Coturnix japonica: one gene and its partners. The protein of the gene in region 1 binds, or shares a complex with, the protein of each later gene. Links are inferred from orthologs where the notes say so. Each region holds a gene or a part of one and is shown on either strand. Other genes may lie near its edges.

Evidence for each region.
Region 2: NUP160 (region 1) and NUP214 share a complex: the UniProt entries of both Homo sapiens proteins name them as parts of the nuclear pore complex. The link is inferred for Coturnix japonica from reciprocal best matches to the Homo sapiens genes NUP160 and NUP214.
Region 3: NUP160 (region 1) and CETN3 share a complex: the UniProt entries of both Homo sapiens proteins name them as parts of the nuclear pore complex. The link is inferred for Coturnix japonica from reciprocal best matches to the Homo sapiens genes NUP160 and CETN3.
Region 4: NUP160 (region 1) and NUP188 share a complex: the UniProt entries of both Homo sapiens proteins name them as parts of the nuclear pore complex. The link is inferred for Coturnix japonica from reciprocal best matches to the Homo sapiens genes NUP160 and NUP188.
Region 5: NUP160 (region 1) and NUP85 share a complex: the UniProt entries of both Homo sapiens proteins name them as parts of the nuclear pore complex. The link is inferred for Coturnix japonica from reciprocal best matches to the Homo sapiens genes NUP160 and NUP85.
Region 6: NUP160 (region 1) and NUP93 share a complex: the UniProt entries of both Homo sapiens proteins name them as parts of the nuclear pore complex. The link is inferred for Coturnix japonica from reciprocal best matches to the Homo sapiens genes NUP160 and NUP93.
Region 7: NUP160 (region 1) and NUP107 share a complex: the UniProt entries of both Homo sapiens proteins name them as parts of the nuclear pore complex. The link is inferred for Coturnix japonica from reciprocal best matches to the Homo sapiens genes NUP160 and NUP107.

What each region holds. Positions count from the first base shown.
Region 1 is NC_029520.1:524,166-528,129, reverse strand, and holds the start of NUP160 (nuclear pore complex protein Nup160), read right to left. Parts: upstream 2,801-3,964; 5' UTR 2,756-2,800; coding exon 2,553-2,755; intron 2,053-2,552; coding exon 1,842-2,052; intron 1,581-1,841; coding exon 1,358-1,580; intron 1,150-1,357; coding exon 1,071-1,149; intron 448-1,070; coding exon 333-447; intron 1-332. UniProt on the Homo sapiens protein: Functions as a component of the nuclear pore complex (NPC). Involved in poly(A)+ RNA transport.
Region 2 is NC_029532.1:4,684,161-4,687,660, reverse strand, and holds part of NUP214 (nuclear pore complex protein Nup214), read right to left. Parts: intron 2,947-3,500; coding exon 2,785-2,946; intron 1,849-2,784; coding exon 1,401-1,848; intron 17-1,400; coding exon 1-16. UniProt on the Homo sapiens protein: Part of the nuclear pore complex. Has a critical role in nucleocytoplasmic transport.
Region 3 is NC_029547.1:53,325,919-53,329,418, forward strand, and holds part of CETN3 (centrin-3), read left to right. Parts: intron 1-417; coding exon 418-609; intron 610-3,500. UniProt on the Homo sapiens protein: Plays a fundamental role in microtubule-organizing center structure and function. As a component of the TREX-2 complex, involved in the export of mRNAs to the cytoplasm through the nuclear pores.
Region 4 is NC_029532.1:4,043,956-4,047,455, reverse strand, and holds part of NUP188 (nucleoporin NUP188 homolog), read right to left. Parts: intron 3,500-3,500; coding exon 3,412-3,499; intron 3,326-3,411; coding exon 3,243-3,325; intron 3,082-3,242; coding exon 2,967-3,081; intron 2,669-2,966; coding exon 2,548-2,668; intron 2,317-2,547; coding exon 2,250-2,316; intron 1,814-2,249; coding exon 1,685-1,813; intron 925-1,684; coding exon 791-924; intron 458-790; coding exon 351-457; intron 138-350; coding exon 1-137. UniProt on the Homo sapiens protein: Component of the nuclear pore complex (NPC), a complex required for the trafficking across the nuclear envelope. Required for proper protein transport into the nucleus.
Region 5 is NC_029533.1:9,354,767-9,358,953, reverse strand, and holds the start of NUP85 (nuclear pore complex protein Nup85), read right to left. Parts: upstream 2,801-4,187; 5' UTR 2,702-2,800; coding exon 2,669-2,701; intron 2,583-2,668; coding exon 2,287-2,582; intron 2,112-2,286; coding exon 2,041-2,111; intron 1,564-2,040; coding exon 1,520-1,563; intron 1,093-1,519; coding exon 1,023-1,092; intron 829-1,022; exon of another isoform or gene 669-828; coding exon 547-668; exon of another isoform or gene 79-546; coding exon 1-78. UniProt on the Homo sapiens protein: Essential component of the nuclear pore complex (NPC) that seems to be required for NPC assembly and maintenance. As part of the NPC Nup107-160 subcomplex plays a role in RNA export and in tethering NUP96/Nup98 and NUP153 to the nucleus.
Region 6 is NC_029526.1:558,931-563,039, reverse strand, and holds the start of NUP93 (nuclear pore complex protein Nup93), read right to left. Parts: upstream 2,801-4,109; 5' UTR 2,690-2,800; intron 2,410-2,689; exon of another isoform or gene 1,500-2,409; intron 1,489-1,499; exon of another isoform or gene 1,404-1,488; intron 875-1,403; exon of another isoform or gene 608-874; intron 1-607. UniProt on the Homo sapiens protein: Plays a role in the nuclear pore complex (NPC) assembly and/or maintenance. May anchor nucleoporins, but not NUP153 and TPR, to the NPC. During renal development, regulates podocyte migration and proliferation through SMAD4 signaling.
Region 7 is NC_029516.1:31,992,256-31,995,755, reverse strand, and holds part of NUP107 (nuclear pore complex protein Nup107), read right to left. Parts: intron 1,372-3,500; coding exon 1,245-1,371; intron 773-1,244; coding exon 669-772; intron 154-668; coding exon 26-153; intron 1-25. UniProt on the Homo sapiens protein: Plays a role in the nuclear pore complex (NPC) assembly and/or maintenance. Required for the assembly of peripheral proteins into the NPC. May anchor NUP62 to the NPC. Involved in nephrogenesis.

The DNA of each region.
Region 1 (3,964 bases):
TGCAGTTTAGCTCCCCCAGCTCATCTGTGCTCTCCCAGCCAGCACATAAAGCTTCCCCTCCCTCCAGTAGCAGACACACATTCCAGCACAGCCCAGCCGTGAAAGTGCCTGTGCTGGCTGATTAGCTCTGGAGCAAGTACAATGCAGCAAGCAGAGGCTTTTAGCAGTTTCTTGTTGACAAAGAGTCACATTACATTACCACTCAAGCAGCAGAACACCCGTTTTGGGTGCTGCCTCATCCCTTGGGGTACTCCCACTTGCCTGCCAGAGTTAGTTTGGAAAGCACCCAATGTCACCTGTTAAACTACACCTGCCCCGAACGCAAGCCTCACCTTGTAGGACCACATCCGAAGCTTGTGGTCCTGGCAGAGAGCAAAGAGAAAGGCATCGTGGTCCAGGCAGTGAACTGCAAGGCTGATGGGCACGTCTGATGGGCCACCGTCACCTCTGAAAGCACAGGTGTGTTAAAAGGAAGCCAAGGTTGGCACACAGGTCCAAGGCAGTAGATTTCTATCGTGATGTTTTACCCATTAAGATGAAGGACTGAGGTGGGAAAAGAAAGGCACCTGGCCCCAAGCAACGCACCCCTTGTGATCCAACTCAGGGTGCCGCAGGCTCACTCACATTTCCCAGGAAGGCTTTAACAGGGTTTGATCATGTGCTTAAGCTGCCATAAGACTACAGTCCCCAAACGAGCTGTTATCTACACGTAACCTCTGCTGGTCAGAAAGAAGCCTGACATTTTGGAACAAGGACAAGAACATACAACTGTTGTAATCCTTAATCTACCCTGGCTGCGAGCCACATCCTGGGTAAATCCTCAGAGGCCAATTACTGGATGTAACACACTCACAGACACCAACGCACAGAATCAGCAGGACCCCACTAAGATGAACTAATCCAGCCCTCAAGTCTCACTGTGACGGGGCCTGTGACCCAGTTAACATTGCAGAACACATCTGCAGGTGCTGATTTGCCCACGCTGGACTTCAACTAGAAACACCACCTCCTCCTATGCGAGGGAATCATAAAGCAAAGCGAGCTCCCTGTGTTTGTCCCCAAACACCAACCTGATTGCTGTTGGCATCCAACCGGTGAGAAAGCGCTGCACCACCGAGCTCTGCTTCAACTCCACAACCGAAACAACTCCTTGCAAAATAAAAGCAACACAGGGAAAACACAGTGAGGACTTAGTTAACAAAACACATGTTGCCAGAAAGGAGGCTGATGCAAAAGAGATGCTGTGTGTGCAGCAAGGCCGTAAGACACAAGTGACAAAAGCAAAACCCATCGAGGTCCAAAGCTGGAAGAGGGGATACAGTGCTCCACAGAAGCAGGTGTGAGGATGCAGCCTTACCAGGTATGTCATGAGGAGGCAGCTTAATAACAAAGATGCCTCCTGCTGCAGAGGGTAGAGCAAAAAGGGCCTCCCCATCACTGCTCAGCCAGGCTGCTGAGGCCAGTGAGTTGGCTGCCAAGCCTGGCACACTGGGAATCAGGTAGTAGCTGGATGGATCTCTGAAGTTGATTTTGCCAATGTCTGTAAAGACGGACTGCACTTGACTCTCTGCTATCAGATCCTGGAGGAGGTAAAGGGAGGAGAACAAGTCTCAAGCACATACACAAGCCATGGAGGAAATAACTCACCACCTACAGAGCAACACTGCTAAGTGACAGTCACTTTTTCAACCCACGATTGCTGCTTCCCAAAACATACAGGCTTTAAAATCTCATTTTCCAGCAGCATTTTCTCCCTTCTCACACTCAGTAATGCCTCCACAGGAGCCACTGACCACAGGGCCAGGCTTTAAATCCCTCATAAACTCCTCTATGCCACTCACCCCGCGATAGGCACGGGCTGGATGAGGCAGCAGGATGCGGTGCACGCTCTGCACAGTGACCAGCAGCAGCACCAGGTGGTTCTGCACCTCACACAGGTGTACACCGCCCGGCAGCAGCGGGCAGCCCTGGATGCGTAACCGCACAGCATTGTTCAGCAGCTCCGTGTCCAGAGATTCCTCCACCAGCTCAAGGATGTCCCCAGATGTTGTCCTGAGAGAAACAAGGAAGTGTGGGACAACAGGGGACACAAGGAGGGGCTGGGAGCAGGTAAAACCATCCCTGCCTGCCCCACCCCCACCCCCATAGCCTTCTCTATCCCTTCCTGCCCCAAATTCATTCCTTCTATAGCAAAACCCCTTCCTTCTGTCCCTGCCTTCTCCAACTCACATCCCTATCATCCCCCAAACCCATCCTCAACCCCCACAACCCCCACCTTCCATCCCTACCTGCCTCCAAACCCACCCCCACCACCCCACAGACCCTTGATCCACCCCCAGCCCCAAACCCATCCCCCCTCATTCCCTCCATCACTCCATTCCCACCCCAAAACCCAACACCCTCCCACTCCAGACAGCCCCTCCATGCCCCAAGCAGCCTCTCTATCACAGCCTCTCTATCTCTATGCCCCAAAGAGCCCCTCCATGACTCAACCCCCCCCCCAGGCCTTCATCCCGCCCCGTCCCCTCACAGCCCCGCCCGCCCTTACTCACCACCTCACGCAGCGGTTCCGCGTGGCCGCCCCCAACTGAGCGCACTCTCGGTAACAGAACCCCCCAGCGCTGTCCCCGTAACGCCCGGTGGGGACGGGGGCGGTACCCGGCGGGCTGAAGGACACCTCCCGGATCCGTCGGGGCGGGGCACGAGGAGCCGGGCCCAGCTCCATGTAGCTGCGCTCCGCCAGCCCCGCCGCCATCTTGTCAGCGCCTTCCCGCCCGCGCGGGGCAGCACGGGAAATGGCGGGCGGGGAGGAGGCGGGGCCACCTGCCGGGTGGGCGGGGCTAAGGGCGGGGTGGGCGGGGCTATGGGCGAGGCCACGCCCACTTGCGCCCAGGCCACGCCCCCTCCGGGCTCGCCCGCTGCTTCCTGCGGGCACGGCCGGGACGGGGCGGCGGCGGAGTGCTGAGAGTGAGTGAGAGCGGGGGGGGAGGGATCTATGGGGCTGGATGTGGGGCTGGGGTGTGTAGAGCTGTGGGGGGTTGGATATGGGGCTCACGGGGCCGTGTGACCGCTGGGGTCCCACAGCGGACCCACAGCTGAGGGTCTCCGTGGGGGCGGGGGGGGGGAGCCGGGGTTTGCTATGGGGCCTGTGGGGCGTGGGGTTCCCTGTGCTGTGGGTCCCTGTGGGGCTGGGGGTCGCTGGGGTCTGTGGGTCCTGGGGTTCCCAGCACTGTGGGTGCCTGTGGATCTGGGGACCGAGGGCTACAATGGGGCTACGGTTCCGTGGGGTGGGAGCCAGGGATCCCTATGGGGCATGGGGTCTGTGGGTCCCAATGGGGCTTAGGTCTGCGGGTTCCCAGTGCCGTGGGTCCCCGTGGGGCTGGGGACTGCGTGTCCGAGCGGGACAGCAGGCCATGGACCCTGGGGGTCACGATGGGGCAGGAAGCTGTGTGTGCCCATGGCGGGAGCGGGTTGTAGGATCCAGGAGGGGAGAGCGAGCGTTCGGGACCCCAAGCCCATGGCGTCACCCCAGCGCTGCTCCTCGGCCGCGGGGCCGCCGGAATCTTGGGAAAAAAAAGCAGGGAAATGGTGAAACTCCTGCCCTTATATGGCTCCGGCCGCCCTCCGACGGCCTTGGCTATTCGTTTCCCACGCGGGAATTCCCCGCTGCCTCAGTTTCCCCATCCGCTGGTCGCTGGAGGGGCCGGGCGTGGTGGGGGTGGGGGGCATCGGGCCGGTCTGGGGGCTGAGGTCGGGGTTAAATCCCTCGACGGAGGCTTTGGCAGCACCGGGAAGGGGAGGGGGGGGGGGGGCACCGTCGGCCCCGCGCCGTAATCCCGGAGCTGAGCGGATTATGGTGGCCGTGGGGCGAGCGGAGCTGCGGCTCGACGGACGCCCCAAGGCCGTGCCCTCCCGGGGGGCACCGATCCGAGGGCGGCGGTGGAACGCGGCCATGCGGCACGGG
Region 2 (3,500 bases), on another chromosome or scaffold:
GTCTACAGCGGTGAACCTGCAGACGAAAGCAAAACAATTTTCAGCTCTGAAGTGGCCCAAGCTGCTTCACTCCATCTAAAAGAAACCATTAAGCTCTAACAAATTAGCAGACTCTGGTATCAGCAATGACTTAAGCTCCAGACCCAACATTTCAAGTGTAGTCTTTGGAAATGGTGGAGAGGAACCATCAGGGATATTCTGGACTATCTGGAATGATAAATTCTGCTACCATAGTTCATCAGAGCTGGTCTATGATGAAAAACCAAATGCCAGCAAGAAGTCCTTCCCTGTTTCAAAACATACCTCTTCATTTTGCACAAAAGCACCAACTGTAGCAAATCTGAGCCACCCTTCAGTACCAGCCTTAAAACAAAGCTCAAAGAGAAACTCTGCAAGAAAATATGAACTTCCATTCATCTTCAAACTTGGGCCCTCAGGGCAGCAAAGTTGAATATTCAGCCAATTCACAAGCGTATCATTTGCTTTATACACAAAATATGAAATTTAAAAAGCCTTAAGAGCTACCATCAGATCTTGGTGTAGCAAAGATTATTCTAATTAAAAAATAATCATTTGAATGATCAGAAATCTCTTAAAAAACATTGACACAAAAATTGCTCTCTGTGGAAAGCAACTCCAATTAACATAGATCTGTTCCAAACCACTCTTTCTGAAAATGGGAGCAAGTCTCAGGAGTTGGAGGGCAGAACAAGTACATGAAATCTGAGAATATGCATCACTCAAATCTATTTTGCCAATTTTATACGCAGTATCAGCTCTCCTTCAGCTTCCATAAATGGTTCAGCATGAACAAGCTTTGAAGATTTCAGGCCCTACATCCACTGAGCAAGCATCCAGTTAAGAACCATGTTAGATGGCATCCCCTCCATCCAACATAGTGGAAAAGAAGTCTATCACCTACGGATACAGCTTCCTCCAGCATTGCAAATTACTCTCAAGGTTGGAGATAAGGAACCTTCACAGCAAAATAAATTAGTGCCAGCACCACTACACTAAAACAGCTACAAGAGTTTTCAAGTCCCACGGTTTCCCAAGAGTCTTTAATTATGACTTATCTCAAACCAAAACAAGGAATTATTTCATATCAAGCCTATGTAGTAAAGACATGAGAAAAGTAGGACTCCAGCATCTCCCCCAACTAATAATCTGCCCACAAACACCATTTCTAGCATGAGAAACGCTGAGGGTTTTCACAGCCAAGACAAATGAGTTTTAGATAAGGAGGAGCTTCCTCAGAGCTTTTTTGGGAGTATGGAGAACAGTTGTCAGGGCAAGAGGCCAAAGAACACTGTGTGATGTTCAGAACTACCACACATTGTCCACACCTGGACTGATTTAACAGCTATCCAGCCACTGCACTATAGCATCTTTATACTTACTTCTCATTGAGATTCACTTTAACTGAAGAAGCCGAAGGGGAAAAAGAAGACTTCTGTGCAGCAGGAGCTGTGGATTGTGGCAGTCCAGGAGAACTTTCTGCAGACGGTTTCAAATTCATGGATCCAAAGGAGAAGGAGGTGGCTGTGGCTGCGGTGGTGCCCATAGAAATAGCAGGTGTTGTGGATGCCTTAGGAGAAGCAGAGGAGAAAGAGAATGTTGCCACTCCTGTAAGACTTGGAGCCAGGATTTGCTTGGAGGTATCAGTGGCAAAGGGGTAAGGTGGAAGTTCACCGCCTGTAGAGCCAGGCACCTTTGCAGTTGAAGGTGTAAAGGAAAAAGCAGCTGCTCCATCTCCTGCAGGAGGCTGAATTGGGGCAGAAGCAACAGCTGGTACTGCATCAGGCTTTAAGGAGGTTGGCGGAGTGGTCGGAGCTGTGACAGTACTTCCTGCAGAAACACAAATAGGTAAAGACTCATTTGGTTGCACTGACTAATGGAAGAAGGTACTGCGAGGCCAAATACCATTTGATGGGACAGCTAAGTACAACCTCATTCACTAGGCAGACTGTACAGTGAAGGAAAGTGAGGAGGGAAGAGGGCTTCCAGTCCTCACATCTGGCAAATGAGTGCACAAAGTCCAAGATGTGATCAATACTGCAGTTTACTCACATCCAAATACATTAACATTGCCTGGAATTCCCAGTGAAAAGGTTTCACGTTTCTCCAATGCTTTTGATGAGGTTTCTGCCATCTCACATAAAAAAAGGCTGTCAGCACACAAGTCAGCCAGCACTGCAGAGAGGCAGGCTGCCAAACAGATGCATTCTGTTTGGAGAAGCAAATGCAAGCTCAGGGAAGAAAATGGTGGGCTTGCAATTATTACTGCATGCATGCAGAGAAGCAGAACAACCAACTGACCTGTCTAACCTAGAATAAGAAAGTATCTACTTTACATTGTATATGGTACCCAACATACAGTCAGATAAAACTACTGCTTTTCACCTCCTGACACTGTTTTCACAGTGATGAAGAAAGCTATAACTTAAATAAGCTCTTTCTGCAGTCAAATATGTTAGTTTTGCCACGGGAGGCCACGATAAGAACAGAGAGGGAAACCATCACACAGAGGGGTTTAAACACACTGTCTGAAAACTGCCTGAGATCCCCTAGGATGAACAGGACTATATTATTTCATCTAGATGTACAAGAGATGGAGAACTGACTGGTGAGCACAAAATACCCATGATCCGCTCCCATTACTATTACAAGTAAAAACAACCAACCTTTTCTGTGACTGCATGTCTATCTGAATAACAAGCTCACAGATGAAGATGACAAAGATCCACAAATGCAAGTCTTTCCTTAACCCACTGCAGCACTCACCTGGTGATTTTGGTGCTCTCTCCCCTGCTGCTGGCAATGGCTCTGGGGTCACAAGAAGCGATCTGACCCCTGGATTTTGATTGATCATGTAAAATGGGCAGAGCACACCATCCGTAGAGAGCAAGATGAGTACTGGTGCTGGAGGAAGGGTCTTCTCATCACCTGCCAGAAACCATATACATAAGCTCAGTAACCAAGTTTACCAGTCCTGATCTTACTCTCATCAGCACCATCTTGAGCTACATCTGCTTCAGTTCAAGTATTCTCAGCACAGCTAAAGGCCCCAAACTATTCCAGATATTCCTAAAGCATCTTCTATAAAGATTAAACTCTATTTAACACATGAAAAAGAGCAAATCTAGAATGAAAAGAAATTCTGCTATAAATAATAATATTAAATATTAGCATTTCTTTCATTAGTTGGTGCAATGAAGGGCCACATTTCTTTAATACTGGCTCTTGTTGGGGAAGGAAAAACTCAACATGGAAGTGTGCTCCAGCACCAATATAGTTTCTTTTCAGTCCAAACTTGTTGCAAACTGTAAAGTTAAAAAACATGTGGTCAAAAAGGAACTGACTACACTCAGTTAAAACACAGAGTTATCAAAAAACTTCACCAAAAACCTCTCTAAAAACTCCAAGGCAGCACAATCTGGGCTTAATGAGGCTGCTCGGACAGATTCCTTAAGCCAATAAATGTATAGGTTAACAGAGAA
Region 3 (3,500 bases), on another chromosome or scaffold:
ATTCTATCCAGATCATAATATTTAAAATCAACAAATTCAAGTGCCTGGTTCTGTGAGAGCTGATGGTTTTTTTTATTTTATTTTTTTTCTGAAATGCATTTTTCAAATAGAAAAGGCATGTTTATACTTTCAGTTTGTATAGAAAAGCCTATTGAAAGCATGATATAGTCTAAATTGCCATGTAACTTTTCAACTGTGCCTGATATATGCTGAAGAATAACTCAGCTTTGAAAAGAGAGTAGAGAAAGAAAGGCCAGATAGCTGCCAAACAAGTACGCATGCATACTGTGAACTGAAATAGTTTAAAAATGAAAGAACAGATGAAATCTGGAATATATATTCTTTCTGTTACCTCAGTCAGCCTGTCATTCTGTTTACCCTTCAGAATTTTTTAGTCTAACTTCAGAATCTTTACAGTGACAGACTGGATATTGGACAGAGATCCACAAGAAGAAATACTCAAGGCATTCAAATTGTTTGATGATGACGACTCTGGTAAAATAAGCCTGAGAAACCTGCGTCGTGTTGCTAGAGAGCTGGGTGAAAATATGTCTGAGGAAGAACTGCGGGCTATGATTGAAGAATTTGATAAGGACGGAGATGGCGAAAGTAAGTCTTAAGCATAGACGATGTGGGATTCTTATCTCTTAATTTTCTCCCTATTTTAACATAGCTTTATCTTGAAAATGCCTGAAATTGACAATTTTCTCTTTGTTTTCTTTCTAAATATCTCTCAGCTCAAACTTAGCTTATGTAAAATGAAAATAGTTTTTGATAGTTACTAGTCCTGAAGAAGCATGGTGGAGTCTAAAAGTCAAATAGATTTCTCACCTTCACTGAGGCTTAATCAACCAGCCCATACCTATTCAAAGTTTGGTTAAAGTTCCTCTGGTTAAATAATTAAGTGGTTCATGGAAGTGTCTGTGTACTACAATAAAATTTGGTATCTGTATGAATTAAAATGGCAATGAGTAAAAGGATTAAAAGGCCAGAAGAAACTCTTTTGATCACCTGGTCCAATATTTCTTAAGCAGTAGCGTGTCACTATTGTGATTTCAGCTTGTTGGTCAGATACAAAGAACTATGCTACTAAGTTGTGATGAACTTAACCCTGCGTCCAAGCAGGATCACCTAGAATAAGACTCTAACATGTCTCTGTACTTAGGAGAGCTGAGGAGTGTGATGTGGAAAATTCCTCTGAGGAAACAATGTCCATACAGTGTGAGCTACAGAAGAGCTTTATTAGCTAGATAAAGAATTAAGTAACAGGCACTGTTTAGGGTTGTTGTTTGTTGTTCAGCTCCCTTCTTTATTTCCTCCATGAACTTAAATCTTTGTATTTAAACTAGAAGCATTAATACCTGGATTTCAGGAGCCACTCACTTAAGACAATCTGCATATACTCTGCATTTCTGAGTCATAGAAACCATTGTGAGTTTTTCTTTCAGGATGATGACTCTCATCTGAGATCTCAGAAGTAGTTCAACTTTTTTAGTTGCAAAACATTTCTATTTGTCAGCAACATCTACTGGAGTCTAAACTCTGATAGAGAAAAAAACAAAATTCACAGCACCTGCCTTTTTGTCTGTCTTGTGACAGATACTTCAGTCTGTGCTGCTTGTGGTAGGTGTTATTTCACACTTGATCATACAATTGCAAGCTTGTTAATTGTTGGCCTGTACTGTTTTTGCATCTACTCAAATATTGAAAAAAAAAATACAAACCTTTCTCCTCCCTCCCCTGTCCCACCTCCAAGAAATGGGGGGAAATGAATGAAGAACAGGACTTCTAAGCTTAGTCAGCACAGTTTAAATGCCAATGTTGTTTAATTTTAGTGATGCAAATAGGGAGCATAAAGGCAAAAATACTAAAAGCTCTGTGCTTTTGTTGATACTAGACTGTTAATCTTGACACTGTTTTTACAAAAGTCTGTATAATGTTAAGAAGACTCTTACTTTTGTTTAGAAGATGCCACCTCCTGATCTCACTTCATTTCCGGAGGCTATGTTACCTTAGTAGAACCTGCATAATTCTGATGTTCTTTTATGTGCCAGATGTGTCCTTCCACACATTTATTGCATTGGTATCCACCTCAGTAGCTATACAACAGAGTATAACAAATATTCTAAGTGGACAGCTTTATTTTAAGTTTATTTTGCTTTTAAAAGTAGTGGTGGCACTGCCAATGTTACCTTTTACTTATTTCTATTAAAGACTCATTTTATTTGAAAGTGGGGCTGCAGAGGGGATAGCAAGTAGAATAGATCAACCACAAGCATGTTTTGTTCTCTGTTACCCTTCTAGAGCTGCCAACTCAACTGTCAGAATGATAATCAGGGATGATTTTGGTCATATCACTGTTTGGTCAGTAGAAATCAATGTAAACTTTTAGCTCCTTCTAGGAAGATTTTAGTTTTTGGGGGGATCAGTACTAAGTTTCTGAGATTGTTCAGTTCATTTTCCTTATTCATCCATTAATTTTCTTTTTTAGAGAAGTCTGGAATAAGATTGAATGTGGAAGATTGGTAGCATGATGTATTTGCATAGTTCTGTTCCTTATGGTTCTGTTTTCTGTTCTCTAAAGAAAACTAGTACTGTTTCTAGCTTTTAAGATTCAGTCTCGGAAAGTAAATAATCTTCTGAGTCAGTGTTCCATGTAGTTTCAAACATCTGGGTCATGTAACAAAGTCTTGCTCTCATTTATTTCTCCTTTGTTTCCTGCCAAGGGGGAAAAAATCTCTAAGTATCACTTGGTAGCGTTCTATATTTTTCAGTAGTTCGTCTGTAACTGGGCAGCACATTAAGGACTCCAACTTACTCATCTAACATTCTGTGAATGGAGTAGAGAAAAAAAAAAACACCAGTACCCTCAGTACATTGTGGAAATGTTTCCTATTTCTATTTTAATTGTTTATCCTGTTTTTTTTCATGAGTCAAACCACATGGAACCTCAAGCCTGGTTTTAATTTTAGTCATGTGTCATAAAATGAATAAGAAGTATTACTATTTAAGGGAAGTGATGCTTTTGTTTGTAAAATATTAGTACCTTCAGCAGACACTTGAATCATACCTTAATCGTGATGTTTTAGGACAAAGCTCAATTTCTGTGGTTACTTACTTGTCTTGCCAGATATGTTTGTGGATCCATTTTTTTTTTTCTTAGAACAACACTGATTAAATTTCATCTCTGAATTTATGTTTAATGTGGCTTGCAGAAAAGCTGCTTTGGACTCCAAATATATCCTGCAGATAACTGCTGTTGGAAATGTTCATATACACAGAGTCTACTGCTCTTTTCTTCAAGTAAACAGTGAAAAAAGTAATTGTTGTAAGGTAATCTGTATCTGTTGTCAGTTTATGGGCTGGTTCAGCCTGGTTCCATGAGTGATGGGGTGGAGGGATCTGCAGATCCACATCTCTGGATAAGTGAAACAGGGGACACCAAAATAATTTAAAACAGTGGCAACAATCTGAGGAGAAACAAACTAATTTACTAAATA
Region 4 (3,500 bases), on another chromosome or scaffold:
ACTGCCACTGTGAGGAATTCCAGTATCATGACCTTAATGCGCATGTCCTCGATCTTGCTCTGCAGGCGGGTGAGGAAGGCGTCGCGGATGGCAGCAGCATCACTACCAAGACAGGCATAAACAGACATGGGAGCAACCTGTAAAAGGAAAGAAACATCAGAAGCCAGGATAACCAAATGCTACAGAACGCCTCTTCTCTAATACAAATAGCTTTCAGTCCACACTCCCTTCAGCCGACTTGCATTAACCTCCCTGATACAAACAAGCCTGAAGAAACTGTTTTGAAAGAATTCAGTGGTGGAATCAGTCAGAAAGGAAGAAGCAAAGCTCTCGTGGGAGCCTCATCCTACCGTAGCCAGTCGCTTGAGCAGCTGGATGGCCAGGCGTGGAAGCGCAGGATCATGCTTGTGGTAGATATATTTGGCCAAGACAGCAATAAGATTGTTTCCATGAGCACCTGAAAGGACCACAATCAGAATCAACGATTAAGAGCAGCTATTTCACAAATAATGACTTCCATAGCAGGAGGTGAGAATTAGGTGAGTCTTCCAAAAAAATGAAGCATGATGGGATCTTAAAGACCACCCAGTTCCAACCCCTCCACCACAAACAGGGTTACCACCCACTAGAATGCCTTAAAGGAGGGAGAATTAGCCTTCACCTATCACTAGAAAGCACATTTTGGACATTTCAATAACTGACATATTGTCTGTAATGAGACACACACTGACTATTTCTAAGTAACAAAAAACCACAACTTCCCAGGCTGTCCCCATGGAGGAATACATACCATGCTGAGTAAGTGCCTGTTCCAGTGGAGATACCACACTAGAGGGGGGTTTCAATCGTATGACATTATTGGTGACTGAGAATGCCAGCTTCACAGTTTGTATCAGCAGCTGGCCTTGGCCTTGTGACTCATCACTGTGTTTTGAAAAAGAAAGCAAAGTAACTGTGTTGACAACTGAGGTTTATTATCTGCACAACATTCAAAGATGAAATTCTGCACTCTGTCAGTCAGAGGTTATAACACATTTTCACTCTGACTGTCACATCACCACCTAACAGCTGCTGAAATACAAACCCCCACACAGCCACAATGTGGATTGTCTACTCAGCCCTGAATTCTCAGCATCAAACAAAAAAGGAAAATAGTCTGACAGCCTATTGTCACTTCTCTCCCCCTCTTTATGAGAAAGGTTTTAAATGCATTAAGACAGAGGGAGAAACATTTGCATGAGCCAATCTTAAAGAAACTATAACACATCCACGATAGAGGATGAGACTAAGCTGGCTCTAAATCCAGCATTTTTCTAAGGCTTTCCTTACGAGACAAATATTCTGGAGAGATATTAAAGCCAAAAAGCATTTTCACATTGCTATTTGCTTTCTCTCTAATAAGTTTGGATTCCCTTCCAGATGTTCCAAAAGAAACAAAAGGCAGGCTTTCTCAAAAACAACCTCCTGGCAAGTTTGGCTAAGCAAAGTAGAAAACTAAAGGAACAGCATGAAGCATAGAGTACAACAAAAATTAAATATGGATCCGTAACAAAGAAGGCTTGCTCCTCTAGAATATACAAGGCAGGCTGCCACAGATCCCCAGGTAAGTGCAATCATGTCAAAGCTACATTTCAAATACTGCCCTGTTGTTTTCCTTCTTACACAGAGATGAAGAACAACTCACCTACTAGACTGGGAGGCCATTACCATGTCAATAGTGTGCACACCAATCCCCATGATGTTAATGACAGCTTGCCCTGCTTCAGTGTTGGCCAGGCTGAAGATGCACAAGGACTGAAGGCTGGGGGCATTGCTGTGGGACACACACACCACAGAACATCATCATTAAGATCACTCACTATACTTTCCGCCCCCAGCACTTACTAAATAACCACAAAGTAATGTTAGCATTTCTACATGTCCACTAACTTCCACTTCATTCTCCCTTCTACTTCCTTCAGAGTGGATATATCAAATAGGAAAGTGGGTGGCAGTCTGCGCCATGGAACACATATGCTTTTTTCCCTTTCTGTATCAGATATTCTAAAAACCACCATGCTTTTCTTTGTCTCTTTTTCTACCCTTCCTATTCTCAGTAATGCAGAAAACCACTGAAACCAGCACTACACAAGCAGGCCAGTTAACTCCAGGTAACTTACATTCAAAAAGTGAAACAAAAAGACAGCAACAGAGTCCTGCTGCACTATAAGCCAGGCAACCCCAGACCTGACATCCATCATCCACCTTACCTACTGCGAGGATCCATTTCAGGGCATAAATTCAGTATTGCATGAATCAATTGTAGAATGAGGCATCCTGAAACACAGATGAAAAGGACCGCTCAGTTTTCAAGACAACCTGTTACCTAGTCCCTAATATTTTCAACCAAATCTCAGCATCTACCAATACCAGCAGATGATGTACAAAGCAAATCCTAAATGTCTGCCAGAACAAAGAGCTGATTAAAAAATGGGAAAAATTTACGTATTCTCCCCAAGGCTGGTGATCCTTTTCAACCTCACCTGCCAACCCCCTCCATTTCCTTACCAATTTTCTCTCTCACTCCATGAGAGTTGTAACGCCATTTGTGGTAATTCGGTAACATCTCCTTCAGGACAAACACGATGCAGGGCACAAGCCCTTGGCTCTGGGTGCTACCAAGTTGTCCCTGGAAGAAACAGAAATGTTATTTTTTCCTTTCACGTTTAATGGACATCAAATCTTTCATAGGAAGACCAGCTATGGGTCTTTAAATGTGAGAAAACCACTGAAGATGGTGACATAGATATAAAAAAAATTTCTATTGTCTTGTAGATCAGATCAGAGCAGAGCTTTGAAAGAAGCAGAGAAAGCACAAAGCAGCAGCACATAAGGAACACTGACCAATGACTGATTACTCAGAGACACACTGCTGTATTTCTCTTTCTCAGCTGACTTCACATAACGACCACTCCAGAAGCACTCACCCGGACCAGAGTCGTGATGAGATTCAGGAAGGAGATGGTAACTCTGTACTCGCCTTGAGGCTGCTCTATGCTCATCAGCAGGTTTCCATAGCCCCCAGCATTCATTCCCTCTGCACTGTGAAACAAGCAAGGGGATTCATTGTACAAATAATACAACTTCGACATGAGTGAGAAATGCCAGAGATGCACAGATTCCATAAATCTTAGATTTCAAACAGGCAGAAAGGTCTTATGGCAAATTATGAACAAATCAGGCAGAAAAAAACAACAACACACCAATACCTAACCATGTGATTCATACTGGACACTGGATTGGCAACAAATGGTAAGAAGCCCGTATGGTGAAGGTCAGTCCAAACCTGCATGAGAATAAGAAGAGATATTATCTCGCACTCACATGCCTATGTACCAGTTTTCAAACTTAGAAAACCAAGAAGGTCCTCACCTTGGCTGGCATCCGTGCAGCCAGTACAGTCAAACAATTGACACAAGAAGCAATAACATCCATAGGGGGAGAGATTACAGTTGTCAGCC
Region 5 (4,187 bases), on another chromosome or scaffold:
TGCGGGATTTGCAGTGGCTTCCTTGGAGAGCAAGTGCCGTGCTTCATCCATTCGGCCTTGCAGTACGAAGATATCCACCTGCAGAAAGCACGTCTGTGAGTACCAAGCTGTGCAGGGCTACCACGCACCCAGGTGGAATATCAGGAGAATCTTCAAGAAAGCCAAGTAGAGTTACAAGATTTCAACTCTAGGCCCTGCTAATTTGAATATACAACCTCTGTGAATCATGAAATTGGATGGTGGTTGAGTCACTGTCCCTGGATGTGTTTAAAAGCCATTTGGATGTGGTGCTCGGGGACATGATTTAGCGGAGGGCTGTTGGGTAGGTAGGGTAGCATGGTTAGGCTGTAGTTGGACTTGATGACCCTTCGGGTCTTTTCCAACCTGAGTGATTCTATGACCTTGACAATGCTTTATCTTAAAACTACAAAGACAGAAGCAGCATCTCAGGTATCAGTTTCTGAGATGTGCTACAGTGCTGAGAAGAGGAATGCGAGACACACAGGCACGACTTCATCTAAACGTCTGACAGGGGGCTGTACTCACCACGTTCCAGAAGAGTTTGTGTTTTGATGGATTTTCGCTGCTCAGAACTTCACGGACCATGTTGTCTACATCACAGATGTGAAGCTGAACCCAGTCAAGGAGACGAAGCAGGAGAGGACCAGCTTTACACAGAGAAGGTATCACTGTTAGTTCCCAAACTGTTTGTCCCCAGGCAGTTAATTTAAGAAGGTTCTTATGCTTTAAGGTCAAATAAACTGGGAACAAGTTTTTGTTTATTATGCTTCTGTGAGAAATAAATAAATAAGCCAGTGTAAAGTAGAATGCATCCTGATATAATTTAATACAAAAAAATGCAATTTACTGAGGCAGAAAAGGTATCAGAATTCGGTGCTGCTTGTCATACACTCCACAGTAAGCATTAAGATGTAGCACCACGCACGCTGTCTACATTTTAAACGATTATTACGCAAACAAGACCACTTTCAGGCTTAACATCAGAACTGTTCACTGCTCACCTGGCGCTGCTTCAACAAACAGAATCTCACACAGATTCCAGATCAGCTCCATGGCAGAGAGAATAGAAACCTGACAAAAAGCAGAGCTGCGTTTCAGGGTCATAATTGTTCCTGTTATTTAATTTTAAGTGCACAGCTGAATGTGCTGCCCACAGAGATGGGTTTTTGTAGACAAGAGAAATGTCACATTGATATTCCAGAGATAATCAAAAGACAGAAACAGGCCATAACTTCTCTATACACATCCATTTTAGAAAATATCGGTGGTTTGTGTATTGAAATGCAACAGTAATCGCTCCTCAGGGAAATGCAGAACAGTGCAGAAAGTGTTAATTGAAGCCTTTTTAATCTCCTGAGAGTTAGAGAGCACAGAAGGAACTAAAGGCAAACTAAGCAACATCAGTGCTGTTCAAACAACAAACTACAGCCACGGTGTTGGTCTTTGTGGCTTTACTAACCAATATTCATGCAACTACGTGGATGTGACTGTACGTTACCTGAATGCTGTACTGGTTGTGCAGGGCAGAGTCCCGGGCTGAAACTGAGCGAAAAATACACCAAGTCAAAAAGCAGCATAAAAAGCAGCATATTTACAGGTACAACAAAACTTTCTGAGCTCATTCATACAGTCCTTGATCGCTCGCTGGGTACAGCCCCAGATGTGTGCACAGCTGATACAGCTCAGCTCACCCTGCAGAACTCTTTATAAATCTGGTATATTTACAGGACAAGGATGTTAAGACACAGTGAGTCCTCTCACTGTTTCAGAGGAGCAAGCTGGTGAATTTGACTCATTTTTCCACAAAACCACAAGTCATGACATGAAAATACTGCAAGTCTTCCCAAAATCAGTTACGAGATGATGAACCAACATGGAAATCTCAATGATGGAAGATGGAATCCTGTTAATTACTGAAGTTTATATGGGCTGTTTTTCAGTAGCTATAGCAACTTCCAAGAGAAATCTTATTTTTATCATCACAAGTAGCATCTTTTTACTGCAGTGCAACAGACTTACTGGCAGCCTGGTGCATGTCCTCCATGCAGGCTCTTATGACCGAGCGGTAGTTTTTACTCACTTGGACTAATCTGCCAAACACAAAAAGGATCGTTTACAGAGAGATACTGCTTCGGTTACGGTCCCTTTTCTGTGCATCCGTGGATGCTTCCAGAACCAGGGTCAGCCTGGTGGGTGCTGCCCGTGCTGTGCAGGGTCCCACGCACTGTTCAGCACCCAAAAGGAGGCTGTTCCGGCCCCACTCACTGCGCGTTCCTCGCCCTGGCAGCCCGCTCCTCCTCGCAGCGCTGCAGCCCCACGAAGATGCCGTGGGACTCGTTGAAAAGCTTCCGCAGCGTCTCCATGTAGATGTCCTGATCCCTGCGCACCACGAACACGCGCGACGGACCCGCCGCTCCGTCCCCGCCGCCCGCAGCGCCGCATCCCGCCGGCCCCGGCCCCGCGCTGCCGCCCCGGCCGAACAGCGTCTCGCACAGCAGCATCTCGGCGGGGCCCCACTCGAAGCACAGCTGAGCTCGGGCCGGGTCGGCGCCCGGCACCACCTGCGGGAAGGGAGAGGAGAGCGGGGGGCGAAGGTAAGGAAAGGGAAGGGAAAGGAAGGGACGGGGACGGGCGGTCCGGCCCTGACCGTCAGCGGCGGCTCCGTCTCGGGCTCCTCCATGGCCACGCCGCGCTCCCGCCCGCGCTGAGGCCCCTGGCGGCTGCCCGCCCCGCTGCCCAACGCCCCGCGGAGCTCCGCAGCGTTACCCGCAGCCGGCAGCCAGCGAGGCTCCCTGCGGGCTGCTCCGCTTCGGGCCCTCGGGACCGACGGGGCTCCGACACTTCGGGGCAGGCGCGGCCGGTCGCCCCGGAAACAGCGCCGGCATTGAAGGCCCCGGCGGGGCGGGACGGGGGAGGACGCGAGGAGGGGAGGGGAGGAGAGGACGGGCCGCTGTAATGGCAGAGCGGGGCGGGGGGGACGCGGCAGGAGCGGAGCGGAGCTGTGTCGTGTCCACCTGTCTGTCCCGCCGTGTCCCGCTGTCCCGCCGTGTCCCGCTGTCCCGCCGCGGTCGCTCTGTAACGGGCAGTAAAAAGGCAGGTGCTGCTCAGCCTGAACCAGCGCTGCTGAGAGGCCCGAGCCCTGGGCAGTGTCTGTTGGTCTCACTGCTCTTATTTTCCTTTTCGTCGTTGTGTTGAAGGATGTTTTGATGTCTGAGGTGAGGGTGTAGGAATGGGACAGTGTCCTCCTGCCTCAGGATCCCATCCAGTGCAAAGACTGAAAAACTACAAGCTGATGTAAAGCTGCAGCTCCTTTCCTGCTTTGTGCTGACGGACACAGCCCCTCTGCTCACTGACTAAAAACGCCAGTAGCTTTTCATGGCTGCAGCTCCTGCTGCCCTTGAGAAAGTGACTTTTGCCGAGGGAAATGACCTTGGCAGAGGTGAAGTTTAGTTTGCAGTGTCTTAGTCCTTCTTGGAAGGTTGGCTGGAGGTCTGCGTGTATCTAGGAGAGAGATGAGCCTGCACTCTGGCTCAGAAAGGCTCTTGTGCCTGACCAGTCTGTAACTGAATCGAATTACAACCAGAATGGCAGCGTGGAAGTACACAGTGTTCAAAAAGACTTGAGAGCTACAGCTCTGGGTTCAGCCAAAAGAACACGACTGTTTTCTGGGGATGGGAGAAAGCAGCAAAACTTTGAGGTCTAATGAGGAAGGGAATAAAGGGTTACAAAATAGAAGGTTGGAAAGTAATTTCATAGCTTGGGAGAAGGCAAGGAGGATAAGCATCGTGAAAGGGGAAGCATGAGACAGGCAATCACCTCGGCAATGCTTTTCTGCTCCTGGTGCTACACTAGTATTAATGAAGAGCAAAATCCGAATAAGCCACTCGCCCCTTCAGGGTTCAGGCTGAGAAGGTGCTGTAGGCTGACTGCCTTAGCAATAGGAATCCCATATATTAGTTTAAGGGCCAGTGTACAAGTTTAGCCAAAGGAATCATTGAGTGCTAGTTCTAAAACTTTCAGTTTGCTTGGTGAGTGAACAGCCTCGTTTTCTCTTAATTGTGCTTCACAGGAATAACAGACTCCTTGTCTTTGCGTTTCACCGGGGCAAGGACGTGTGCCTCAAATTGTCACAGAACTGTTTTGGAAGTTGCTCGTTCTGGCCTAAC
Region 6 (4,109 bases), on another chromosome or scaffold:
GAAAACCAGGAGCTGCTAGGGGACGTAGCAACCCCATGTGCACTGACCTATTGTTCAGGAGAGACAGCAGGGTCTGGATTTGTTTGAACAGACTAGCATGCCACTGAGATGGCTGGGAGGAGAGAGGGGCGTGGTGGAAAGCAGCAGTTCCATGCTCTGCAATGCAGTACAGAGCATCTTTCCAGTGTTTACTTGTGATACCTCAGTGTGCCCCAGCAGAAGCTGCCTGCACTGGCAGAGGCTGACCACAACAGCCACGCTCCTGTACCGTTAGAAAGCAGGAAGCAGTGAGTGCAGGAGCAGCACAGACTTCAGCTTGATTTGATTCAAATCAGTCTGCTTCCTCTTCTCATTAAGAACAAGATGAAAAGCCAAGAGTGTGAGAAGGCACTGACTTCTCAGAGCTCTAAAACCAAAAGCACAGAGAGTCAGGGGACTACAAATAGCTCCACAGACTGCAATTGTCAAGCACGGATCCCAAGTCAATTCCATATACAGGCTGTCCCACAAATCTGCCAAGGTAGGACAACCGTAATGACTCTGGAAAACAGAGACTGAATTCAGCAAATATAGAATAAACTTGTTAATTTGAAGCAACTCCAACTACCTTTGATTATAACCAAACACTGGGAATGAGAGCTCAAACCTTTCTCTAGAGCTCAAACAGCAGCGTGTTCCAAGGGACAGACTTCAAACATCCAGACCGGGTAACAGCATGAACTACTTAGTCTCCATGCTGTCAGAATTTACTGCATTCAGGAGGCTGCAGTCTGACTCCAAATGCCGCTGTGCAAGATGGAAAACTGCTGCCACAGGGACGAGCAAATGACAGCAGACTGTTGTGTCTGGCTGCAGAATGTGCAACAACTTACACCTAAGGGAGAGAAAATACACCAGAAATTAAACTAACTTCGGTGAAACTGGATCGACCCAGGGCTAGAAGCCAGGGCTGAAAAAGCCCTTCTGTAAAACGACTTTGATGACTTATCAATAGAAGCTGCTGCATTAGTCTGCTATTGCTTGTCCAATAAAAGCCCCATTTAATGTTTTCCCAACATTTAAAACCGCATGTAGATGTTACAAACTCTACAAGCTGGCTGGATTTCAGCCAAAATGAAATCAGAAATGATGACAGGTTTCTAATTCTGTTCAGACTGACCATAAATGCCGGCTGGTCGTGGAAAGCCAGGCCCTGCAGTGCTAGCAGATGAAGAGTGCTGTCCTACTCCAAATACGGCCATGCTGAACATTTCACCATATGAGCTTCATAAAGACTTCAAGCTGAAGAGCTCCCATGTGTAAGCAAGTGTCTGCTGTACTTCATACACTGACAGTCTTTGTGCCACCTAATTATAATTAATTTATTTAAAGAGACTGACTAAAAATTCAGAGGGAAGCCTCACCCACTGCAATCAGAAGAGCTGATAAAGAGTACAATCCAACCAGGGGCAAAAAGATTCTTCCCAAGACAAAACAAAGAGGAAGAAATCCAGCGTTACCCTCTCAGAGTGCTCCAGAGACCCATGTGACAAGTCAGCATCCGCTCCCTTTGGAAGGAAGAGAGTAAGTGACTGAGTATGAAAGCAAAGAGCAGGCGGCAAAATACATACATGTATATCTTGAATGAATGAAAAATGCCACTTCCGTGATATTAGACACTGATATTAAGCTCCTTTCTAAGAATGCAGGAACTGTCAATGAGCTTGTTAAACAGAGCACACGTAGGGCAGGAATGGTACAGACAACTGAGCCCCACCAGCAGCACACACAGGTCACCTGCTCCCGCTCCCAAGGTCTGTCCCTGACTCATTTTCAACTTCTATAAGGGAAAAGGACCGATTGCAAACCACACATCTATTACATGTTGTCCACAAATTGCCCTCTGCTACACGACTTTTAATCAAACCTAGCAAAGGGAGCCACACCACCTCCTGGTTTAAGCTAAAAGCACAAGCCACACTAAAACCAAACACGTAAGGGCTCCAAGCTGCATGTGGTGCTCCAGCTGGTACAGTGCCCTGGATGTAGGAAAGTCCTGAACAGAGCACACAGCAACGAACTCCTCAACTCAGTGTTCATTCCACCACCCACAAATTAAATCAGCTGCCATCCCTATATTTCCCAGTCCTGTATGCTTTGTTCTTCAGCTGCAGGCAGGTGTGTAAGTTACCAACCCTTTGATCGCGGCTCCCAAGCTCTGGTCTCATAGAGCTTTTACAGCACAAACTGAATAAAACCAGCTGTTTCTGAGGTCTTACTGCACTGCCGTGCCGCCTGCCCTGCTCACTCCCCTCACGCTCCTTATGTTGTAGCTCGGATCCTCTCCCCACAATCTTTCCTTTGCTATCAGCACCGCAGGAACAAGCAGGAACCACACGAGCTGATGTAGCCATTCCCAGTCAGTCCATCCTTTCGGTCCCCTCATGTCGGCCCCACCCGCCATCACCCCGTGCATCTCCCCCCGCCTCCAGCCCTCACACAGCCCGGCCCGGACCCCCGGCAGCGGCCCGCACAGCTGGCAGACATTGCCTCGGCCCGAGGGCACCCGCTCACAGGAGGCCCCGCGCCTCAGCGCCCGCCCAGGGCAGGGAGCGCCGAGCTCAGGAGCCGGGGAGCAGAACGATGTGAGGACGGAGGACGGAGGCCGCCCGCACCGCGATCCCCGCCGCGCCCACCGCCCCTCACTCACCTGCCCGCCGCTCCGGCCGCCGCGCCTGCACGCCCGCGCCGCGCGCCACCATTGGCCACGCTCTCCCCCTTCCCCGCCAGCCCATTGGTCGAGCCGGCGCGCTTCCTGACGCTACGCATTTCCATTGGTTGTCGAGCTGAGTCCCGCCCCTCCAGCTCGTCTCGCGACAAGAAGTGATTGAGGCGCTGGGAGGCGGCGCGGGCTGTGCGTGGTTATGGGGGCGGTGAGCCGGGAGACGCGGGTTCGAGGCTGCCCGCCGCCTCTTCCAATGAGGAACGGCCCGACGGCCGCGCGGGGCCGGGGGTCAGAGATGAAAACACTATAAACGAAAAGCGGAACGCCTGCAGACTGCCATCAGTACGGCTGTTCGCTGCCCTGAACCCCCACAGCCATCTGTTCCCCATTCCCCACTTGTGTCCATTGTGCCATGTAGGATGTGAGGCTCACTCACTCACATAAAGAAAAACTTGATTTCAATTAAAAAACCCACCCTGCAGGGACCCCGGGCCGCACACCCCCCTCAGCCCAGCTCCCCTCAGCAGACATTGCCCTCACACCTTCCCACAGCGCTCATGTTTGAAGGCACGGCCCCCAGAGCTCGTCCTGGGGGCTGCTCCAACCCGGGGCACGGCTGGGAAGGAGCCCAGGCCCTGATTTACAAGGCAAATACACACTGAGCGGGGCAGCCCCTTTCCCATCTCCAGCACCACCCCAGCGAGGGGCCCGGGGACTCAGGGCCACCCACCCCACACGGCTCCCAGCCCCATTGGAGGGCACGAGCTGTCCCCACCCGCAGAGCATGGGACGAGGCAGCATGGCCAGGAGCAGAGCACACAGCACACAGACATGTGTGGGCAGGCTGTGCCCTGCAGCACAGGTAGGGCCAACTTTCGCTTGGCAGGTGTATTCGGAAGGAAAAGAGCAGCCAGGCGCCTTCCCACGCCCCCACCCCCCTCCTTGTCTGCCCCCCCAGGGCAGGAGCCGGCCGGGCTGTGCTCACACCTGCCCCATGTGGCACCCTGAGCCCCCCACTCACCAGGGGCTGTGAAACAGAGCACCCCAACTGCACGACACCACTCTGTCCCCTCAAACCACAGCCCACAGGGGGTTGGCGCAGCCCCCAGCACCAGTGCTCCCACACACGTGTCACAAGCAGCATCAGGGCTCAGCCAAACTCATTTATTTCCTCCATCAGCACAGAAGGTACAAAACATGTAAAAATAAGCTTTGTTTTGTGTTTGTGGCCCCCATCACCCCCCACCCTGTCCCCAAAGCATGGCAGCTATTTACAGGCGAGGCGGGCTGCTCAGTGGCAGCAGCTGCACTTGCTGCTGGCTGGTTCCTTGCAGACACAGCCCTTGGCACAGTTGTTGCAGCCAGCGGGGCAGCAGGAGCAGCAGCCTGAGGGGGAGAAAGGAGA
Region 7 (3,500 bases), on another chromosome or scaffold:
GCAATGGGCTTTTCAAAGAAATTACCTATAAAGTGAGGACAACAGTCTCCACGTTACCATCTCCTGCTTGAGAAGCCACAAGACACTGGCGGTCTTTGAAAACTTCTGCTGTCCAGGAGTTGCTCTGTAAACTATCTTCCCCAGTATGTTCACCTGAGGTAAGGAAGCACATACACAGTCAATAGTGCTCATCATTTTTATTTTTATAATCCCTGCTGATAACGGACCATCAGTCAATAGTCTGTTATTTAAATAAACAGACTTCTTAAAGCTGACGTTGAGAACTCTACTGCCAGTTTGCTAGGAATGCAGTAGAAAGCTCCTAGACCACCACAGTAACATGCGTGGGGACAGGACTAGGGGTAATGGGATGAAAGTACAGCATGGGAAGTTCCGCACGGATGTGTGGAAGTACTTCTTTACAGTGAGGGTGACGGAGCACTGGAACAGGCTGCCCAGGGTTGTGGTGGAGTCTCCTTCTCTGGAGATATTCAAGACCCGACTGGACGCCTACCTGTGTGACGTGGTGTAGGGAACCTGCTTTGGCAGGGGGGTTGGACTCAATGATCTCTAGAGGTCCCTTCCAACCCCGACAATTCTGTGTCTGTGTGTATGTTGATGGTAAATTAAAACAAATAATAAAAGACCCATCAAAGCAAACTATTTACCTGATTATTACATATATTTTCATACTCATCCACGAGATCGAAAATGGTCGTTGATGTATGTTTCAGGAAGGAATGCAGAAAATCTGAGTACATGCTCATAGTAGCTAGAATAAACAGAAGAAGAAGAAAGCCATTTAAGACATGTTGTGGTTAAAAATACCAACACTAAAAGAAGAATCCTTCTGATGCCAAGGTATCTCATCACTAATAAATGTTAGCAAGGACAGTGATGATATGAACTGTTTATACCTCATAAAGTCAGAAGAATTCATCAGCTAATATAAAAAGATATATAGAAGCTTTGAGATAAATAAAATAATTATTAAACATCTGCTGTAAATCTGTCATCCAAGTTTTAAAGACAAACCTGCTTCTATGTCTCCACAGAGAATTCAATTTGTGTATTACTTCACCACAGCATCCCATTTGTGTCAGCAAGTTCAATAACTAGAAAAGCTAACTTTCTGAACTCTTTAAACTATTCTGCTTCTGGCATAGGAATATCTAAGTGAGAAGATACAGGAAAACAAAAACACGTATGTGTTCAATTGTGATGAAAGCCTCAGAGCATCTCACCAGCTTCCCCAGGATCATCCTCACGTAACAGTACAGCACTTGTGGTGACATCTTCCGTCATGTCTAGATTTGCAAACATTCCTGTCTGCTGAGGTGAGAGCATTGCCGTCCAGTTACTGTCATCCAACTAAAAGCAAAACAATATAAAGAAAACAAACAGCAAACTCAGATTACTACAAGGCTAGCTCCAAGGTACTGTCATTCAATATGAATGGTACAAACAGAGCAACTCAAAAGAGTGAATAATGAAATAACTGTATTTAATTAAGACACAACTATGATTTTAATGAACTGTTCTCAAAAGATTAAAATTTTAATCTGGAAAAAGAACATTCTCCTTTTTTTTCCCCACGAAATAACAAGTGTATACGCCAATGTAATCAGACCCTGCATTTTACATTCCTCTGTACCATTTTTTCACCTTAAAGCATACATAACTCCATCAAAGGATATAGTCTGTTATGTTAAACATTTTATTAACTTAGTATTTTGTTGACTAAGTTGTGAAGCAGCTGTGAAGAATTAAACTAAATAGATAAAGTTTGAACCAGAACCGTTTATTTCAGTCTTTCTATCTTCCTAGTGAACTGATCAAAATACTGATTGAATGAAGCAATACAGAATCACACAGAATTATCAAGGCTGGAAAAGACCTAGAAGATCATCTAGTCCAACCATCACCAACACTTCCCAGCTAAATCATATCTCTCAACACAACATCCAAATGTTTCTTGAACACCCCCAGGGTCAGTGACTCCACCACTTCCCTGGGCAGTCCATTCCAATGCCTGACCACCCATGAGAAGTAATATTTCCTAATGCCCAGCCTGAATCTCCCCTGGTGCAGCTTAGAACCACTGACATCTTTAAACATCTTTAAAGAGAAAATGCAAGAATATTCAAGCAGAGAACAAGGCAAAACCAGACTTTCTTGGGTGTATTTTAGGGGAAGCCTATCTAACAGAAGGGAGCAAAATGGCCAAAAGAGAAAAGAGACTATGCGTACACTATACAAACAGGATAGTTTCCTACATCTTTTTTCATGACAGCAATGGCTTTCTCAGCAGCAATTAACGCCAGACCGAGACCCAGGGATATGACAACAGCTGATTATTTTTCGTGGCTGTTAAAATATCCTCAGTCCAAACCAGAAAGAACAGATAATCAGACAACACTGCTGCAAGTTTCTTCTGCACATCCAAAAACTGCAGACATAGATGTGTTGTTCTTCTCTTTATGCCCCAGTTCCTACCTATAGTGTTTCACCTGCCTGATTTCTCTCTGCCATTTTTGCCCTCTATCCAGCCAGAACATAATGCTACAGCACTCCTAAACGTTCAGACCACTGAGCAAATATAAATCAGCTCCAGAAAAAAATATTTCAGCTCCCTGTGGGAAATAGAAAAGAGTCTGACGAGTGCTGTAATCTACCAGCAAGTGCACTGAGACAAGACATAATTCTAAGTCCTTTTTCCATCAACCTCCTATGAAAGCCACTGTCTAGCCCCAAGCTTCCTCCTGCTGAACTATACTGGACTCAGGTCAGAGCACTAAATACTCTCAAAATGCTATTTACAGAATGTCAAGAGGCTCTGAATCACAGGAAGAGTGCTACTATGAAGCACTTTATCAGTGCTGATCAACAGTCAATAGGCTCCAGAGCCACATGTCTTAATGAAACAAATGGGCTGCCACAAACTATAAACCAACCAAAAGGTAAAACGAATTAAAATTCACATACAGAAAAACATATTGTCTTGATTCAATTTAAAGGTAAACAGATAAAATAGTTCAGATGTACCTACTGATGACTTCTTTAATCACTGTTTTACCAAACATGTTACCACAGAAGACAACTAACGTCATCTGAAAAGTAATCAGAAGAGCTTGCTCTTTGAAGCTCAAACATTAACATGCGAATGAAACTAAATCTAGAGTGCTAAAATAAGAAAAAATCTCCAGGTTCGATTTGCTGACAGAACAATCATCTTTGAGGAATCCATAAGCAAGTGAAGTCAAGATTTCTGCAGTCAAAAATTGATGATTTAAAGACTTAACACATATGGGGCATTTAAGAAGGCCTAAAAACTCTTCATTCGTCACTACATCATCTCAAAGAACATCACAGTAATAAATAAAACTAGCATTAAGATTCAATAGAAGCAGTAATAAGAGTAAGCTTGTTCCACAAGCAGTTTGTCCCTGGTGTAAACTCCACAGAGACACAATAAACTTGTAGCTACCTTGAAGTTTCAC